3 linked regions of the Canis lupus familiaris genome follow. The protein of the gene in region 3 purifies or fractionates together with the protein of the main gene of each other region. This does not show direct contact. Links are inferred from orthologs where the notes say so. Each region holds a gene or a part of one and is shown on either strand. Other genes may lie near its edges.

What was found. Proteins that work in one complex are often made in the same cells at the same time.
Region 1: the proteins of MOB1A (region 3) and LATS2 purify together in Homo sapiens (affinity purification with western blotting; 9 studies listed by BioGRID and IntAct, with this or other methods). This does not show direct contact. The link is inferred for Canis lupus familiaris from reciprocal best matches to the Homo sapiens genes MOB1A and LATS2.
Region 2: the proteins of MOB1A (region 3) and PJA2 purify together in Homo sapiens (affinity purification with western blotting; 3 studies listed by BioGRID). This does not show direct contact. The link is inferred for Canis lupus familiaris from reciprocal best matches to the Homo sapiens genes MOB1A and PJA2.

Annotation. Positions count from the first base shown.
Region 1 is NC_049246.1:17,175,460-17,179,652, forward strand, and holds the start of LATS2 (serine/threonine-protein kinase LATS2), read left to right. Parts: upstream 1-1,393; 5' UTR 1,394-1,524; intron 1,525-4,193. UniProt on the Homo sapiens protein: Negative regulator of YAP1 in the Hippo signaling pathway that plays a pivotal role in organ size control and tumor suppression by restricting proliferation and promoting apoptosis.
Region 2 is NC_049224.1:2,731,699-2,735,934, forward strand, and holds the start of PJA2 (E3 ubiquitin-protein ligase Praja-2), read left to right. Parts: upstream 1-1,436; 5' UTR 1,437-1,583; intron 1,584-4,236.
Region 3 is NC_049238.1:49,426,339-49,429,838, forward strand, and holds part of MOB1A (MOB kinase activator 1A), read left to right. Parts: intron 1-1,556; coding exon 1,557-1,690; intron 1,691-3,500. UniProt on the Homo sapiens protein: Activator of LATS1/2 in the Hippo signaling pathway which plays a pivotal role in organ size control and tumor suppression by restricting proliferation and promoting apoptosis.

The sequences.
Region 1 (4,193 bases), on a different chromosome or scaffold from region 3:
TCTCCCTCTGCCTATGTCTCTGCCTCTCTCTCTCTCTCTCTCTCTCCCTGTGTGACTATCATAAATAAATAAATAAAAATTAAAAAAAAAAAAATAAACACACAGGAAGAAGAATGGCAGCCAGCCCAGCCAGCCAGGGGCTGGGAAGGAGAAAGAAAGGTCAGTGCATGAGTGAATAGGTACACAGGTGAATGCAAAAGAGACTCGATTACAGAATATCCACTGGGGTTTTATGCCATTCAAGATGCCTGGGTAGAGCACAGGATAAGATTGAAAAATGAAATTTTCAATTTCTGGTAATTAAGCCGCAATAATCGGCTTAATTACCAGAGCCCAAAGAGGAGAGAAAACAGTTGGGGGATCTAGGAAGATTTCCTTGCAGAGCTAAGACAGAGGCAGGGCTGAAAGCCTGGGTGGGAATTAGAGAGTAAAGTGTATAGGATGGCCCACCAAGGATTGCTAACTAAGGTTGTTAAAACGGCCAGAGCTAATGACCTTCATGACGGTTTCTTTTCAGATTAAAGTTTAAAAAACAAAACAAAACAAAAAAAGTTTAAAAAACTTCACAAGAGTGTATTAGGAAAGGAAATTGGACTGCCTTTTAAAACAATATTAGCCCTCACCATCACCTGCCGCAGACTGCAGGTGGTAGGAAGTATGATGCCAGGAGAGTCCAGTAGTGGGTTAGGGGTTCGTTTGCAAGCTATTATTTGTACTCACATCTCCGCACCATCCCTGCACATGCCCTTGCACCACATGCACAGCCCACAGATGGACATGCACGACTCAGAGTTTCACTCGTTGGTCTACGTTACTATCTCGTTCTGCACATCAGGAAACATTTCTCATAAAATATCCATTGCTCTGGGGTTTGATTAAATGAAAACGGACTAAATCGGGATATATATATCTGAACGTCCTTTATTACTTGCTCGCACGGGTGAAGTTGTCCTCTTCTGCCCTTACTTGTAACAGCTGACACAGACTTGGGCACTTCGGTGGCTCCTCTAGGCCTGTTAACTCACTCTCTCAGCCGAGGCTGGTGTGAGATGCCTCGAGGACGGGGTTACCAAGTTTCCGAGTAGTGCGGCTGGAGGGGCGACCCTGGAGCGGGGCGGCCGGGGCAGGTGGCGGCGGGCGGGCGGGCGGGCGGGCGGCGGGGACCCGGAGGCAGGAAGCGGCGCGGGGCAGGGCGGGCGGGCGGGGCGGCCGCCGAGCAGCAGGGCCGCGGGCGCCCCGCCCGGGCTGGTATGCGGCCGCCGGTGACGCGGGAGGCGGGGTCACGTGACGCCCGTGGAATGCCAACAATGTAGCGAATGTCCCACTTGGGTCTGCGCGCTGGAACCTCGGCGTGAGCGCCCCGGGAAGATGGAGCCGCCGCCGCCCGCGCCGCCGCCGCCCGGGGCTCCCCCGTGCCCGCGGGGCCAGCAGCCGCTCCAGCCACTGGCGCCCGGTCCCCCGGCGCGCGAGGCCCCGGAGCCGCGGACCGGGACGCCCCGGAGGGTGTAGACCGCGCCCCAGGAGGTGAGGGGGCAGGGGCGGGGGGCGTGGGGCCCGGGGCCAGGGCGGGGCGGCTGGAAGTTTCCGCGGGCCGGCGGGGCCCCGGGGCTCCGGGGCGCCCACCCTCGGGCCGAGGCTGCGGGAGGGGCGCCGGGCTCGGCAGGGCGGCCGAGGAAGTTCGTCCCGAGCGGAGCCCTCGCCCTCGCCCTGCCCCCACGGCCCCCGCCCGGCCCGGGCCCGGAGCCGCCTCCGCTGGCGGCGCGTCGTCGCGGGCCGTCCGGAGTCGGCCGAGCGGGGGCCGTGGGGAGGCAGCGCCCGGCCGCCGGCGCTGCGCCGCTTTGTTGTGCGCCGGGCTCCCGGCGGGGCTGGGGCGGCCCGAGAGGCCGTCCGCGCCGGGGGCACCGCTGCGACGGCCCGGGCTGCTCCCCGCGACCGGGGCCGGGCGCCTGCCTGCTGGCGGCCCCGGAGCACCGGGGTCCGCGCCCGCTGCGCCGCCGTCCCCGGAGGCCGCGCCGTCGGCCCGCCCGCGGGCTGTGCTGTGCGGTCGTCCCCTCGCACCCCGTGCGGTGGTCCCCCCGGGCCGGGCCGGGCCGCGCCGCCGTCCGCCGCCCGCCGCGCCCCCCGCCCCGACGGCGCCGCCCGCAGAGCCGCAGCGTTGCCCACCCGCGTCGACCCCTGCAGGTTCGCGTCCCCGGTCCTCGCGGGTCGCGGCCGGGAGAGCGGCGGCCGTTGCGTAACACGCTCCCCGTGCGCCCCAGTTCACCGACTTTGCGGAGCTCCTCTTTTCTGATGCAACCTCACGTGCGCTCGGGTCCCCGCCGGACCCCGGACTGCCCGTCACTGCTCCGCATCCTGCCCTCGGAACTCGAGGACGGGCGTCTCTCGGGGTGAAGTCCCGCTGGCGGGGTTGGGCGGCGGCGCCAGCCCGGAGCGAGCCTGCCGTCCGCTGGACGCGAGCCCCCGGTGCCCCGGAGGCGGGGAAAGGTGGACAGACCCCTGCGGGCCGGCGAAGCTCCCGGGAGGCCGCGGCCCGTGTCCGGCGCTGCAGGCAGCACGTGCTGACCCCTTCCAGGGACAAGTATTTTGTTTTCTTGCAGTCATAACCGTGGAAGTATACTTTCTTTATTTGTAGATTGATAAAGACAAATCCTAAACGAGCACTTTGACATTTTCACAGCTATGTAGGATATAAGTGACGGTGCTCTAAAAATAATAGTAATGTAGCCTTTGAAAAATCGCGCAACGGTACTCAAGCCAGAGACTGTCCATTCGGCCGATAAAAATTCGGTGGCCAAACAGCTCTCTCCCCAAAGTATTCGGCAAATATGTTAACGTTTTACTAAGAAACTTAAATGGACTAAAATTTGAATGTAAAGTCACAAAACGTGTGTTGTCTTTGTACAGGTGTCCTGTTTAAACTTTAAATTAGTAGATGAGGGGCCTTCCTTTAATAACGGAGAAAAGCAATTCGTGGCTTATTATTAGGAAATTTGTACTTAGTAGGTCTTGTTCCATATCGTTGACTCTCAGCGTAAATCCCTTCCATGGTGGATCACGATTTCCGAGTGCTAAATCAAGAGACTAAGCCGCCTTGTATCTTTTACTTTTTTTTCTTTAGCAGCTGTCGTAATAAGGTAGTAACAGAACAATCTTCCAGGAGAAGAATGCAGAGACTGTTTAAGAAAGTCTGTTTTAAATTATAATTAACAAGACACTATATGTTATTCAGCGTCTCATAAAATTTGGTCTCATTATCCAGATATATAGTACACTGTTTAATGAGTACACCAGTATTCCTTTGATATTAAAATTGCTAAACATTTAATAAATCTCAAAATGTCAAGTAATTTAAAATGGTATCTGAGCAGAAGACATCATGCAAAAGTACTAAGGTGAATTACTAGAATCATGGAATTTTAGAACTGGAAAGGATTCCCTCCATCTTGTTGGAAATAGTTTTGACCTAAGTGTAAATTGGAACTGTACATATTTCTCTCCTTAGCAAATCACAGGGTTGATGGGAGGGACTTTCCTTTGGTGGGAGGGGAATGTTTTTACAATAAGGTGCCTTGTTATTTTAAATGCTGTGTTGTAAATAGCCAGCCCTAGGCTTCTAAATCCCACTGTGTGTGTGTGGGGGGGGGGGGGGGGGGGGGGGCAGGTGGTGAAGCTGATAAATTCACCATAAACACATAGGAAAGATTTGGGAAAGCTTTTGGAGGGGGCTGGGTGTTCTGCTTTGTATTAGATAAACCAGACCAACTCTGTTTTTCAAAGGTTGCTTTTATATTTTATTTCATAGTTATGATATGAAATTTCTAAGCAATATTCCCTACTGACTTTTTAAAAAATGGCTTGAAATACAGAAGATAACTCCGTGCATTTACTTTGTCTGGACTGTAAATCTGCTTTAAAAAGGAGCACCATATCCTGATCAGCAGAATGAAGGGCTTGGGCTTGATAATCCTGAAAGTGACTGATTTCCAGCTCAAAAAATTCTCTGAATCTCCTTCCTTTTTACAAAAGCCTATTGCTTAATAATTTCTCTGGACAGAACTGGGCCTCTGTGGCACAAGTCCAGGTGTCGCCATTCCCATTATACATACGGTGGGTGGATGATTCTGTGTGAACCAGGGCTTTATTACACAGAGCATCTGTGAATGGCTCCTGGTGTTTGAAGATAGCCCTGCTTG
Region 2 (4,236 bases), on a different chromosome or scaffold from region 3:
CAAAAAATAAATAAATAAATAGTCTTTCTATAAAAAAAAAAAAAAAGAAGTGGGGCTCTTCGTTCTTGGGGAGAGGGATGCGATCAATATACCCGAGCCCCGGGCGGGTACGTGGTGGGGCGGAGGGGGCTGGGTTGGGGACTAAGGTGGGAGGAGAGCAGGACCGTAACCGGAGAAGCAGACACGTTCAGGAGAGGGGGGGGAAAAACAAAATTAAAAAAAAAAAAGGAGGTGTGCGGGCCGAAGAAACCACTGAGCATCACGGCATGATTCAGTCAACTGTTACCCGTGTTTAAGTTAAGCAGAAGGCCCCGGGACTACAGCTGTTGTATTTACCGTCGGGCAGGTGATGGGAGCTGGTCCTTCTGGGCTGCACAGCCCCCGAGCCTCCCGGTGCAAAGTGGGAGGGGGGTCAGGACCGGGCTGGGGGCGGAGGGGGGCTGGCAGGAGGCCGAGTGCCCCGTCCCCACCTGGGCGGGGGGCGCAGGGGGCCGCAGCGTCCCCGCGGGGAGGGGGAGGGGAGAGGCGAGGCCGAGGAGGGAGGGGAGGGGATGGGGAGGGGATGGGGAGGGGATGGGGAGGGAGCGGGAGGCCGAGTGCCCCGTCTCCGCCTCCCCCAACCTGGAGGGATGCGCGGCGGCCGGAGCGTCCCCGCGGGGAGGGGGCGGGGCAGAGGGAGGGGAGGAGGGGGGGGGGGAGGGGGGGGCCGGGAGGGGTTGGGAGGCCGAGTGCCCCGCCCCCGCCCCCCCACCTGGTGCGGATGCGCGGCGGCCGAGCGTCCCCGCAGGGGGGGCTGGGGTGGGGTGGGGGGGGGTGGGGGCGGGGCCCGCGGAGCGCGCGGGGAGGGGGGGCGGGGGGCGGCCGTGCCCGCGCTCGCTGTCGCCCCGCCCGGCTCCGAGCGGCAGCGCGCTGGCCTCCAGCCCGAGCCGGTCACCCGGGCGCCCAGGCCTCCGCGGCTTAGCGCTGAGCGGGAGCGCGCGGCCGGGGCGGCGTCGGGGTCCCTGCAGCCCGGGCGCTCCCGCCCCATCGCGGAGGCCCCGCCCTGTCTCGCGGCCCGAACCACAAAAGGCCGCGCGCCGAGCCCGCCCCGCCCCGCGCCGCCCCGCCCCGCCCCACCCCGCGCGTCGCAGTGCCGCAGGGGCCTCGGCCGGGCCGGGGAGCGCAGCCGCAGCCTCCCGCCCGCCGGCCAATCGGCGGCGCCCTCCTGGCCCGGGGCGGTCTGCGGCGCCGGCTCGGGCCGAGTCCCTTCCCCTTTCTCTGCCACGTCCCAACCGGTGACGTGAGCCCACTCCCCGGGTCCCCATTGGGCGCGTGGACTTTTCCTGCAGAGGCCCTGGGCGCCGATTGGCCGGCACCGCCCGGGGGCGGGGCTTGCGTGCCCGCCTCCTCCGCCTCCGCCGCGGCGCTGGGGGCGGGACGCGCGGCCGCCGCCGCCTCTGCTTCCGCCGCCGCCGCCGCCGCCGCCGCCGCCGCCGCTGCCGCCGCTGCGCGTTCCGCGGGGGAGGAGTCGGAGGCGGAGAAGAAGGCGGTGGTGGCGCTGAGGCTCGGGCGCTGCCGTCGCTGCGGGGCCGCTGCACTGTAGGGTGAGCCGTATTTCCTTTTCTTTCCTCAGGCCGAGCTGTAGTGGTGCGGGGAGCGCGGGGGTCGGGGCGAGGGCGGCGGCGGCGGCGCGGCGGGGGCGCGGGGGGGCGGGGGAGGCGCGGGAGGCGCGGGGCCTGCGTCCGCCGCCGGCCATGGTGGGTGGGGTTGGCGGCGCCACGGGCCCGGCCCCGGCCCCCGCCCCGGCCCCCGCCGCCGCCGAGTGCTGCCCGGCGGCCCGCGGAGCCCCCGCCGCCCCCGCCCCGCCTGCCGTTGCGGCCGCTCCCCGCCGGGCCGGCCCGCCTCCCGGGGCCCTCGGCCGCGCCGACCCCCGCGCGGCCCGTCCCCCCGAGCTCCCCCCGTGCTCCCGCCGGTGCTCCCTCCGTGCCCCCCCGAGCCCCCCCCGTGCTCCCCCAGCTCCTCCCCCCGTGCTCCCGCCGGTGCTCCCCCGGTGCTCCTCCGTGCTCCCCAGCTCCCTCCATCTCCCCTTGGTGCTCCCTTCAGTGCTCCCCTGGGTGCTCCCCCTAGCTCCCCCAGTGCTTCCCCCGCTCCCCCCCGTGCCCCCCCATGCTCCCCCAGCTCCCGTCGGTGCCCCCCCGCCCCCCAGCTTCTCCCCAGCTCCCCCCCCGGTGCCCCCCGTGCCCCCCCGTGCCCCCCGGTGCCCCCGCCGCTCGCAGTGTCAGGCCGCGCTCCCCCGCCCGCCGCCCGCCGCCTGGAGGCCGGCCTCCCGCGGATGGCTGCTTGCTAAATCATTTTGCGCACCTTCGAAATGCCGAGTTTAAAGCCGCCCGAGGACCAAGTTGAAGAAAAAAGGGAGGACGTAAAATACTCTTTTTTTTTTTTTTTTTTTGCAAAAAGGAAGAATAATCTGTTGAGGAGACTTCCCTCGCCAGGCATTAAATTTTTTTTTTTTTTTTTTTTTTTTTGCTTCCCGTATGCACGGGCCCTGCTTTGAGTCTGCTGCCTCTGTGAACTTTATGTTTATGTAGGTTTGTTTTTTTTAAGGCTTTCTGTATTTGCTTTTTTTTTTTTTTTTTTTATCATGACCTATTTGGTCAAATTTCCTTAAAATGGCAGTCCCCTCTGCCGAGGACTCCAGATCATTCCAAGAGCATGTCAATAAATATGAAAATAACAGAAAGAAGCGTGTTAACGATTTGTAGGTTTTTTTGTGTTTTGTTTTTTGTCTCATAGCATCCATCCCATTTTTATAGGAGATGACTCTAAGTCCTGAATATTGGCCCCAGACACGCAAGCTCGATGTAAAATTGGACAATATAAGGAAAAGGCCTATGGAGCAAGACTTGGACACTTGTCATCCTCCTGTCCTACTCCAGTCTCTGAAGTTAGCCATTTACTGGGCATTTTTAGAAACGCATTTTTAAACACATACATATAAAGTCGGGGTTCAGGGGCGAGGCGGGAGGAATACCAAACACCTCGCTGCGTCCCTCCTTCCTCTCACCTGCCCACGTGTCTGGCCCACCTTGGTTTGTTCTTTAGGGCTCTCTCTGATAACTTTGTTAAGGGTAAGCGGTATTTCATTGGTTTGGAGGAGCTGGGATTATTTGACCTATTGAAAGACATTCGATTAGTTTCTTTTCGCTGTCAAATACTGCTTTATTTGAAGACAACTTTTTAATGCATTGATTAGTTTTTAGTTGCACACTTTAAACCTTAAAATTTTTTAAAAAAATTCCAACAGTTGGAGGAATGAACGTAAGGTAAATAGTGCAGCACCCACTTCCCCTTCTGGTCCTGCCTTTATTCTAAAAGTCACCTGTTAGGGAAACGTCCTCTGTGTGTGATCACTTCTGGAGCATAGATTCCCTCCAAATGGAGTTCCTGCGTTAAATGGTATGCATGTTTTAAATTTTGATGACCGTTTTTCCCTCTTTCCAGAATTATTCTTGACTGTTTCTTATGCATTTCTTCCCCAGATGAACTTTAGATGCAACTTACAAATTTTTAAAAATCCTTAGTTTTTTATTTTCTTTTTTTGAATGTGACATTGAAATTTTAGATGGATTTGGGGCAAACTGACCTTTGTAATACTGAGCCTCTCCCCCAGAATATGTGCGTGTATGGTGTGTCTTTCCCTTTTATTCACATCTGGCTTTATATCCTTAGTTTGGGTTTTATAGTAGTTGTGTCCCCGCCCCCCATACTATGGCATTCCTTCCTAGTAATCCTGGCTAGAGTGTGATGTGATTTGCTCTGGTGGATAGAAACTTGCAGGAACATTTTCTCTCTCTTTCTGGTTATAGGAAAACTTACGGATTTTTTTTTTTTTGTTTATCATGAATCTAATCACTTTTGAGTTGGTGATTACCTAGAAGTGTTCACACCTTTCTGGCTTTCTTTTCATTTTTTTTATAACGTATTTTCCTCATTGCTTTGGCTAGCGTACACTTGCGGTATAATTTTGAAGAATAGCAGTGGTGGCTAAAAATGTGGTGTTGTTTCTGACTTTGAGGGACTGCTTCTGATGTTTTAGCATCCATTAACGATGTTTGCTGAAACTTTCTGTTAAACGGGAAATGTTAAGTTAAAATATTTTCTTCTCTTTTCGGCTTTCCAAGATGATTTTGTTGTTGTCTTTAATTTCTGATGACATTTTTAAAAACCGTAAGTGGGTGTTGAATTTTATTGATGGTT
Region 3 (3,500 bases):
CTAATCAGTAATTGATATAAATTAAATAATAAAGCCTTTATATATATTTTTTATCTATTTACTTGTGTACAAGCAGTTCAATTTTATGAGTTCCTGAATACTTCCCTATTTATAAGCTTTTACTTCTTATTAAATACTTTGGTATGTGGTACTTAGTATTTAATTGCATTATAGTAAGTAATGAACGTTCAGGTTTTTTCCTTGTGCTTATTTAGTGTTAATTATTTCCAAGTTGTGCTGCTTTAATTATCTGGCTTAAAGATGCTAGACTGAAAAAATTTTGACTATAAGGGGCACCTGGGTGGCTCAATTGGTTAAGTGGCTGACTCTTGATTTTGGCTAAGGTCATGAACTCAGGGTCATGGGATTGAGCCCCACATCTGCTTGAGGATTCCTCTCCCTCTACCCCCCACCCCCGCCCCACTCATGCATGCACTTGAGCCTTCTCTCTCTCTCTCTCTCTCTCAAATAAATAAGAAATTTGATTATAATAAATCTTAAGAAATATTAAGAAACATGGAACACTTTATCACCCATAATGTTAATGTGTGTTATCACACACATCAAGGTGTGATGGGATTAATGTTTTAGTGTTTCTTCTTTCCAGTCTCTTTTTCTGATAATAAAGGACTAATTTTATATGGGGATACATGGTATTAAGACATTTACCCCTTGGGAAAAAATTGTCTTCCCTGAATATGCTGCAGGTATAAAGGAAAGAAAAGGTCTCCAATGAGTTTCTAGTTCTATTTCTAATTACAGTATTTTGAAGGGATGTTTTTATTTTGTGTTGTTATTCCTGAACCTTCCTTAGAAGAAATTTAAATAAAGTAAATAAGACAAACTTATTAATGGCTTAAATGCTTCACACAGTGAAGTTTTGCAGAAGTCTTATTATGCATTCTAGCTCAGCAAAGGAAAGGTGAAAAAGATGCGTGCCTAAGGGTATTTCTTTAGTACCCTCTCCAGGAAACAATCTTATAATCTTGACTGTATTGTTGATACCTTGATGGCCAGCTGTTGTAGGATATGAGGCATATCCCATCAGTCTCTCACCAGCCCTTAGCACCCTCTGCCAGGAATGTGTGTTCCTTTATTATTCCCAGGGCTGTGTTAAAACATCCATTTTGGCACTGTCAGCTGCCACATTATCCTCCCTTTCTCTTCTAATTATACCTATCCTCTTTCAGGATAATTCTGTAGGGGAAAAAAAAAATAGGGCAGCCCCAGTGGCCCAGGGGTTTAGCAACAGCCTTTGGCCCAAGGTGTGATCCTGGAGATCCAGGATCGAGTCTTGCGTTGGGCTCCCTGCATGGAGCCTGCTTCTCCCTCAGCCTCTCTCTCTTTCTCTCTCTCTCTCTGTCATGAATGAATAAATAAATAAATCTTTAAAAAAAAAATTCTATAGGGAAATCTGAGTGATCTTCAGTAGAACTTGAGGTAATTTACTAAAGTTACATGTAACTTCTATTGACAAAATGTAGACCTACTTTGATTGCAAGTTGTACATTTGTTACTGTTTTTGAAAACTATCAGTAAAATCTTTTTCTCTCCAGATACGAATATCACTGGGCAGATGGTACTAATATTAAAAAGCCAATCAAATGTTCTGCACCAAAATACATTGACTATTTGATGACTTGGGTTCAGGATCAGCTTGATGATGAAACTCTTTTTCCTTCTAAGATTGGTGAGTTAATGTTGAATTGTTTTCCTTTTTAACTGATAAATATGTTGCATTCTTTTTAATACTATTACTTTAAAAAAAAATTGTAATGAATACTGCCAAATTCCTCTCCAGAAAGATTGTAACCAGTATCTGCCCATGTTTCCTCACTAATATTGCGGTTGGCTACTCATTTTTTTTTTTTTTAATTTTATTTATTTATGATAGTCACAGAGAGAGAGAGAGAGAGGCAGAGACACAGGCAGAGGGAGAAGCAGGCTCCATGCACCGGGAGCCTGATGTGGGATTCGATCCCGGGTCTCCAGGATCGCGCCCTGGGCCAAAGGCAGGCGCCAAACCACTGCGCCACCCAGGGATCCCGGCTACTCATTTTTTACTCATTTTTTTCTGTTCCTATCCTTTGGTAAGATTAGCTCTGACATAAATGTCATATGTGCTTTTTCCTTGATTGCCATATGTCTTATTTTGTTCATGAGGTATTCTTGCTTGTATATAACTTTCTTATTTTGTTCTACTAATTTTTCCTTTACATTGTGTGGATTTTAATACAATGATTAGAAAGATTTTCCCTACTTCAAGATTATAAAAATATTTGTCCTTATTTTCATTTAGTACTTTTGTGGTTTTATTTTTACATTTAAATCTTTATTCTTGGGCAGCCCGGGTGGCTCAGCAGTTTAGCTATATGTTAATCCTTCAAGTCTTCAAGTTTCTTAAGTTTGTTCCTAGACTTTTTGTGTATAATATATATATATGTGTGTGTGTGTGTATATATATATATATATAATATCAATAAAAATGATATCTGGCTTCCAAATGGGTTATTGTTTAGTATGTAGAAAAGCTATTGATTTTTTATATAAAATTTCCAAATAAATTGGCCATCAGATTCTTATTGTTTCAGTTGTTTTGGGTTGGTTTTCTTGAGTTTTTAAGTATTCAATCACATCATATTAAGCTAATATTAAATTTGCCTCTTCCTTTCTGATCGGGATGCTTCTTGTGTAACTTGTACCTACTTGCCCCAGAGTAGTGCTGAGTAATGGAGATGATGTGGCAGGACGTCCTTTTTCTTGTTTCCTTACTTTTATGCAGGTGCTTCTAGTACTTCAGCGTTAAGCAGGAATCTTACTTTTGGTTAGACGTATGTGAATCTTTAAAAAATCAGGTGTGGTTGTTGAGTTTTATGATACTTTCCCAGTGTCTGTTGTTGGTTACCATAAAGTTTTTTCTGTGTTGTTTGTTTTTCAATGTTTTACTGGAAGAGTATTTTTTATTTGCTGATATTTTGATTAAGATTTTGTCATCGGTATTTATGGATGAGTTCAATCTTTTCATTTTCATTTTGAGTGTGTCTTACAAATGACATGTTGGATTGTCTTTTCTGTTCGTGCTGCTATAATAACAAAACTACCAGAGATTGGATGGTTCGTGAAGAGAAACTTCTCAGTTGTGAAGGCTGGAAGTCCAAGATCAAGGTGCCAGCATAGTCAGGTCTTGTGAAAACCAACTTTTGGGTTGCAGACTGCTGATTTCTTGCTTCGTCCTCACTTGGTAGAAGGAGCCCGCACAAGTTCTCTGGGGCCTCTTTTATAAGGGCATTAATCCCACTCATGAGGGCTCTGCTCTTGTGACTGAATCACCTCTGAGCCCCACCTCCTAATAGCATCACCTAGGTGGTTAGGCTTTCAACATGGGAATTTTGAGGGGATGCACATATTCAGACCATAGCAGATTCCTTTTTGTGGCCTAATCAGTGGCTCTCTTGGGAGAAAAACTTGTATCATGTTACACCAGGTCTCTTTGCTTTTCG